Rattus norvegicus: one gene and its partner. Each later gene encodes a partner of the first gene's protein in a complex. Links are inferred from orthologs where the notes say so. Each region holds a gene or a part of one and is shown in the gene's direction. Other genes may lie near its edges.

The links.
Region 2: the proteins of Robo3 (region 1) and Nell1 are in contact, whole or in part, in a crystal structure (PDB 6POL), measured with the Homo sapiens proteins. The link is inferred for Rattus norvegicus from reciprocal best matches to the Homo sapiens genes ROBO3 and NELL1. Residues at the interface, in NP_071765.2 of Homo sapiens: Ser553, Pro555, Val590, Glu592, Phe594, Pro596, Asn600, Thr601, Trp602, Thr604, Ile624, Leu626, Arg630, Gly633, Ala634, Trp635, Gly636, Leu637, Ser638, Glu639, Pro646, Val647, Arg648; in NP_006148.2 of Homo sapiens: Ala440, Lys441, Met442, His443, Tyr444, His446, Tyr458, Arg468, Val469, Asp470, Asp471, Phe472, Ser473, Asp478, Ile492, Cys493, Thr494, Asn495, Thr503, Cys504, Lys505, Pro506.

What each region holds. Positions count from the first base shown.
Region 1 is NC_086026.1:45,330,110-45,333,929, reverse strand, and holds part of Robo3 (roundabout homolog 3), read left to right. Parts: intron 1-1,430; coding exon 1,431-1,602; intron 1,603-1,875; coding exon 1,876-2,081; intron 2,082-2,195; exon of another isoform or gene 2,196-2,305; coding exon 2,306-2,387; intron 2,388-2,672; coding exon 2,673-2,838; intron 2,839-3,366; coding exon 3,367-3,533; intron 3,534-3,820. UniProt on the Homo sapiens protein: Receptor involved in axon guidance during development. Acts as a multifunctional regulator of pathfinding that simultaneously mediates NELL2 repulsion, inhibits SLIT repulsion, and facilitates Netrin-1/NTN1 attraction.
Region 2 is NC_086019.1:109,698,905-109,702,724, forward strand, and holds part of Nell1 (protein kinase C-binding protein NELL1 precursor), read left to right. Parts: intron 1-1,194; coding exon 1,195-1,371; intron 1,372-3,344; coding exon 3,345-3,569; intron 3,570-3,820. UniProt on the Homo sapiens protein: Plays a role in the control of cell growth and differentiation. Promotes osteoblast cell differentiation and terminal mineralization.

The sequences.
Region 1 (3,820 bases):
CCCTCTAGGCCTTGGCTTTTGGACCTGGAAACCAAGTATTGAAGGAATTAACTCTTCTTAGGGTAGATGAGTTGCTCTATTGATTGCTCATTTCACCAGCGGCACTCACAACCGTCTCCTTTCCACCCAGTGAACAAATCCAGATCACACTACCCAATAGAATGGAAGTTACAACTTAAGTGATTTTCTCTGTGGAAGGAGGGTCACTATAGTAAACTACAGTAAATCTACACTTCAGGAAAACTACAAGATCTTTGTTCCAAACCCATGGCCACAATTCCCCAACATCTCCAGTTCTTGTGACTGTTGCATTTTAATTAGGTCCTCATGGGGATGAAAATGGTGTTGGTAGGAGGGAGTAAGAGGGGAATCAGAGTCTCAGCCTGACCTGTTGTCCAGAGACTAAAACTTGTTTTCTCTCCTCTCCACATGTCTCTCTAAAGTAAAATGCTAAGACAGAAAATATTTAGCCTTTATCATGCTGTTTTATGAAACATTCCCATGATTCCTTCATACTGAGTTTGATCCCTAAGCTCTGAGAGTCAAATTTGGGGAAATTGGGGCTTATAAAGATATACTGGGCCAGAGATTTTATTTATTTTAGTTGTTGTTGGTTAATTCTTCTTCTTCTTCTTCTTCTTCTTCTTCTTCTTCTTCTTCTTCTTCTTCTTCTTCTTCTTCTTCTTCTTCTTCTTCCTCTTCCTCTTCCTCCTCCTCCTCCTCCTCCTCCTCCTCCTCTTCCTCTCCTCTTCCTCTTCTTCTGATTTGTTTGTTTATTTATTTATTTAATGTATGTGAGTACACTGTTTCAGACATAACAGAAGAGGGCATCAGATCCCATTACAGATGGTTGTGAGCCACCATGTGGTTGCTGGGAATTGAACTCAGGACCTCTAGAAGAGCAGTTAATGCTCATAACTGCTGAGCCATCTCTCCAGCCCCTAGTTCTTCTTTTTAAAAAGATTTGTTTATGCTCATTGGTGTTTTGCTCGCATGTATGTTTGTGTGAGGGTGTCAGATCTACTAGAACTGGAGTTACAGACAGTTGTGAACTGCTATGTGGTTGCTGGGAACTGAACCCAGGTCCTCTAGAAGAGCAGCCAGTGCTCTTAACCACTGAGCCATCTCCCCTGGCCCCAGATAGTTCATCTTCTGAGCTAAGGCCAGTCTCTTAACTTGTGATCCTCCTGCCTTATCTCATAGCTAAGTTTCTTAGAGGTTGTCAACCAATAAAGTCACAGAACGGGGACATGGAAGCTGAGAGCTTCTAATAAATGTCCATTACTTTTGTCAGTTGGCTAACTAATTGACCAGGGTCATGTCAATGACTGGAGGCAGAGTGCAAACTAAAATCTTAAGGCTTCTCTCAGCAGGAATAGGGCTCTCTACACACTGCCAATTCCCTATCTTGTTTTCTTGCTCCATTCCAGGTCTTGCTTTTCCCTAGTCAGTCACTCCAGCCCATGGGACGCCTCTTAGTCTCTCCAAGAGGCCAGCTCAACATCACTGAAGTAAAGATCGGGGATGGTGGCTACTATGTGTGCCAGGCTGTCAGTGTGGCTGGTAGCATCCTGGCTAAGGCCCTGTTAGAGATAAAAGGAGGTACGTGTCTGTGGAGAGAGGGTTGGACCCAGGATCCATTCTTTTAAGAGGTCTGTTTCCATTGGATGTTGTTCAATGTGTCTTAAAGGGAAATGGCATTTTCCTGAGGGACATTCTTGATGTTTGGAAACGAGCAGCAAAATGGTCCCAGGCAGAGACTAGACATGATTGTTAAAGCCGTCTTGGAGGACAAGGAGGGAGGGATGAGATGATGAGCCATATAAGGCAGAAGGACAAAGGTTTCCTGACCCAAGTTCTCCCTCTCTCTCTCAGCCTCCATAGATGGACTACCTCCCATCATTCTCCAGGGACCAGCCAATCAGACATTGGTACTTGGCTCTTCTGTGTGGCTGCCATGCAGAGTGATTGGAAACCCTCAGCCCAATGTCCAATGGAAGAAGGATGAGACGTGGCTGCAGGGGGATAACTCACAGTTCAACTTAATGGACAACGGCACACTATACATTGCCAGTGTACAGGTGAGTGCCATCCCTGGAGTCCCTGTAACTGGAAAATAGCTATCTGGTCCACATTCCAACTCTAGTAAGTACCAACTAGGCATCTAATCCATTTCTACCTCTCTGCTCTCTCAGACTTCCTAAAGTATCCAGCATCTTCCTCATCCTTCTGTTACCTGCCTCTCCACCCCTTCACCCTACTGTGCTCCACTTCCAGTGGGGCAGCACTCTACCTTCTCCTACAGGAGATGGACATGGGTTTCTACAGCTGTGTGGCCAAGAGTTCCATAGGGGAGGCCACATGGAATAGCTGGCTTAGGAAGCGAGGTAAGTTAATTCACTAGTCTAGTCTTGCCAGTAGCTTTCTCCAAATTTGTTTTTTAAAAATAGTCATTATCTTCTGAGCCCCAGGATTAATTTTGTCTTCCAAATGCTATGTTGGTGGGGATGGGGATGGACTGGTACACTTGGGAGGCAGATGTGAATCTGGGCTAATATACTATGTTACCTCTTAGCCATTGCCATTCTTGGAGTCCTATAGCATTTCTAGGAAGGAGGCAGGTCTCACTTTCTTCCCCAGTCTCTCTCTCTAATGATAATCTATCACTGCAGAACATTGGGGAGCATCACCAGGTCCAGCAACAGAACCCGGTAATCCTCCAGGCCCTCCCTCTCAGCCAATAGTCACAGAGGTAACCACAAACAGCATTACCTTGACCTGGAAGCCCAATCCACAGTCTGGGGCCAGAGCTACCTCCTATGTGATAGAGGCCTTCAGGTATGGAGACTATTTTGTGCGTCTGTATATGTGTGCTTGCAAGTCTGCATGTGTGTATGTCTACGTGCACACAGAGACCACAGCGTAGTATCAAATGGCCTCCCGTATGGTCTGTGAGACAAAGTCTGGCTTTGAACCTGTCTCTCACTAATTGGTTAGACAGGCTGACTGACTACTCAGCTTTGGGGATTTGCCTATCTCTCTGCCCTCTTCCCCCAGCAAATGCTAAGGTTACAGATGCATGCCACCACACCTGGGGTTTATGTGGGTGCATTGGATCTGAACTCAGGTCCTCATACTTACTCAGTAGTCAATTTACCTACTGAGCTATCTCTCCAGGCCCACGGAGACGACTATTGATACAGTTAAGAAGGGGGGTGGGATCCTATGTCCTTAGGGCCTTTGCTATTTTGAGAGAACGATTCTCTACCCCCTCCCCCAAGGAGGTAGTATGGTTCTGCAGGGAATGGGTGAGCCTGAGTTGGGCATTCCTGGCTTAGACAGTCCTGTCATCTCCTTCCTTCTTAGCCAAGCAGCTGGCAACACGTGGCGGACGGTGGCAGATGGGGTACAGCTGGAAACGCACACCGTCAGCGGCCTGCAGCCCAATACCATCTACCTATTCCTCGTGAGAGCTGTTGGAGCCTGGGGCCTCAGTGAACCCAGTCCTGTCTCTGAGCCTGTTCAAACCCAGGGTAAGGCCAGAGGCCTTATGGGTATGTGTATGATTGAGTGAGAGCAGGGAGTAGCCCCCACCCCATCCAAACCACAGAATGGTGGTGGTTCACCGGGCTTTCTTTTGATATGCCAGGTCTATACTGACAGCCCAGATTACAGCCGGATGTCATGTTTCTCTCTCCTGAAGGCCCAAGGAAGGGAGGAGGGGGAAATGAGGGTGCCTGATAGGCAGCCATCTTAGTCATCCTTCTCAGGAGCTCCCTTACCGTTGAGCCTCCTAACCACATATAGTACAGATTGTTAA
Region 2 (3,820 bases), on another chromosome or scaffold:
TTCATGGAGGAAGGGGACAACTGACTACAAGCTCTTCAAATAAGCAATATAAAGACTTCCTCGTAGAAGAAAATTCTTTTGAAACTCTTGGACTCAATTGTAGGCTTAGAGATAACGCTGCACTGTGTGATCTGTATAAGGCACTCAACGTCTCTGGACCTCAGTTAATTCTTCCCGTATCCCTTAAGATTGGGACACAGATGAAAGTAGGCAGTGCATTTCAGTGTGTCTGCTGGTGTTCTGGAATAGTAGGATAATGTAGTCCCATGGTTTTCCACTGAAATCAGGTTATTTTCTTATTGATTGTCATAGCACACAATACCACGCTTTCATTACATTCACACACACACACACACACACACACACACACACACACACACACACACACACACTGTGAAGTTTGCTTTTATTTCCCCCCACTTCCCTAGTGTTCTACTTTCCTCTTCCTGTCTGTTTGTCCACCACCTTGTAGTCCCCCTTCCATCCGGAATGCATTTTTCTTTTTTTTTTTCCGGAGCTGGGGACCGAACCCAGGGCCTTGCACTTCCTAGGCAAGCGCTCTACCACTGAGCTAAATCCCCAACCCCCGGAATGCATTTTTGATCACATTTAGTTTAGCTGCTTATGTTAGTTCTAATTCTTAAACAGAAACATATCTTTTCCATTAATTAATTTATTTATTCACTTTACATCCCAATCACAGCCCCTCTCTTACCAGTCACCGTGTACATAGCCCCTCACCCATCTTGCCCTACTCTCCTCTGAGGAGCAGGAGGCCCACCTTAGTACCAGTCCACCCTGGCATATCAAGTCACTTCAGTACTAGGTACATCCCCTCCCGTGAGGCCAGATACAATTAGGCAGCATAATTAGGGGAACAGGGTTCACAGACTGGCAACAGAGTCAGGGATAGCCCCTGCTTCACAGAAACATATTTTTAAAAAATCATTCAAAGAGCATATTGATTATTTTTCCCTTTGGTGCCCTTAGGAATGTCCCCATTTTGACTTCGCTGGCTCCCATAAAGAAAGGCTGTGCCTGCTTTGAACAAGATGGGAGATGGACAATATAGATTCCGAGCTAAGAAGTACATTCTGTGAGCTCTACGGTCTATTTGCAAGGCTTGATTTTTGGAGTGCATCTGTGCATACATTTTCCTAATCACAAAACCTCCTTGACCTCACTTCTTAACAGGATGGGAAGATATTCTGCCGGCGGACAGCTTGTGATTGCCAGAATCCAAATGTTGACCTTTTTTGCTGCCCAGAGTGCGATACCAGGGTCACCAGCCAATGTTTAGATCAAAGTGGACAGAAGCTCTATCGAAGTGGAGACAACTGGACCCACAGCTGCCAGCAGTGCCGATGTCTGGTATGTCAGTTTCCTGGGGATCCCGATGCCTTTACTCTAGAAAAGGTTATAAACTCACGAGCTCTTGGGCTGGAATTCCAAGATGTTTCCAGTATTACACAGTGCATCATGGGCTATGCTTAACCACTGACCACGTGCTTTTGACACAATCTTTAATACTGCCAATAAAAAAATGTAATAGAAGTGATGGAGTTTGGGTGAGCAAGACTGAGAAACCATTCTGTAATTGTCTCATAGGCTAGCTTATGTGGACACTTTGGATATGTCAAAGTGTTTCAGCGGTTAGTCTTTTCCATAAATGTTTACAGGTTTATGGGTACCAGTTCAAAGATTCTTAGGAAGATGAGAGAACGTATGTGAAGGATGAGTTCTGCACTCCTAACATAGTAGGTGCTTGGTTCAATGCCATAGAAGACCCTTAATGTGGTAACTGCTATCGGTGCTCTTTTATCCCTTATAAATGCTGTTCAAACAGAACAAAGAATATTTTTAAATATTAATATACAGATATTAATACTGTGCCTGGATTTGGGAAAGTTCAAAGAAAACGCATAATTTCCATATCTGGTCCAGTGTGTTTCAAATACAGACAATGGTTTCTAAGAACGGGAAGACTTGAGGGCATGGTACATTGAGGATAGCGGTGCTCCATCGGCTTCATCTCCGAGCATTCTACCTGAGTCAGCTTATAAAGCAAGGTTTTAGCTTGGTGCTTAATAGCTATTGAAATGAATTTTTCTCTTTCTGGGTATTATATGGAAACTAGCACCCAGAGAAATTGTTCTCCCAGTTTCCATAAATCCCCTGGCAAATGTACAAGCAGTCATACCATGTACCTTTTACAATCCATCTTAATACAAAGACTGCAACATAGATAAATTCTGTTCATGGCCAATTTTACAGATTCCCTTCCAAGGACAAATACACCCAGGACAACTACATACCTGTTTCCAGCATCAGTCTGGAAAAATCATTTTTCTTTCTTGAGAATCCAGTCATCAGATAGCTAGAATTACTGGCATTTATCTTGCACATGATGTTTTCACTCAAAGGGTTTCAAAACAGCATCTTGAATGTCCAGTCTTTGGGATGTACATTTATTTTTGAACTCACAGAAGCTATTGAGCATTAACTTGAAATTACTTTAGAATAATATTGGTCACATTTAATAAATGCTTTATTGAGACTTTGCTTGTGCCAGATTCCTAGTGATATCATACAAGCAAAGCAGACATAGGCACAACATGAATAAGCCTAGATGCTAGATACATTGATTAAATAATTAAATCAGTAGATGAGAACCACTGCAGCAGACAGTGACCCAATGACAGTGAGGTGGTGTGGAGAGACTTCGCTGACATAGGCAGCTCAGTGATGCCCACAGCCAGAAGAGGACTCAGGTAGAGCCTCCATTTGAGCTGTGATTTAGAGACTTTAGAGTCATGGGGTGGCTTCTCCAAAGAACATCCAGCCTCAGCTCTGAACTTGAATCCAACATCTCAGTTGATGCAGCTGTTGAAATATTCCCTGTCTCTGGGTCTCACTTTGGACCTTAAAAGAAGTAGGCGTCTCTTCATACACTGCCCACACTTCATTTTTTTTTTTTGCTTGTTTGTTCTATTAGTATCTGTTGGACAAATGTTGAGTTATGTCAATTACACAGCATAACCTGAAAAGACCAGTACAGCATGATGAAAATAACTATATTCTGTGCTCAGAACACAAACAAGCTGATTAAAGACTTTCTGTGAACTCTGGGCTAGGTAGTCAGCAAAACCATCCTGAGGGAATGATACCTTCTTAGATGTGTGTAGAAGGTATGTCTTCACAGTGGACGATGGATCGTGCACATCGCAGTGTGGGCTGGAAGCACTCAGTAAGAAAATAATGAGAATTCTAATGCTTTCTTTGCCCTAAGGGAATGTAAAACTGTATAAGGATGACCACAACTCATTTCATCTTCCTCTCCACAGGAAGGAGAGGCAGACTGCTGGCCTCTGGCTTGCCCTAGTTTGGGCTGTGAATACACAGCCATGTTTGAAGGGGAGTGTTGTCCCCGATGTGTCAGTGACCCCTGCCTGGCTGATAATATTGCCTATGACATCAGAAAAACTTGCCTGGACAGCTTTGGTGTTTCGAGGCTGAGCGGAGCCGTGTGGACAATGGCTGGATCTCCTTGTACAACCTGCAAATGCAAGGTAACCATCAGCCCTGGGGTATATGAGCCACAGATAGTTTCCTTTTGAAATCTCTGAATTCAGATTCCATGGAGTGTATGTTCTCACAGGAGGACATTAAGTATAGATAGATAATACTGGTACTTGTATAAAGGCAGATCCAAATGGACATGGAATAATAAAACATGCCTTAAAAGCACTGAATTTTAACAACTGACTATAATCTCAAACATAGAGAATGAAAGTTAATTTAACCTACAATATAGAAAAAT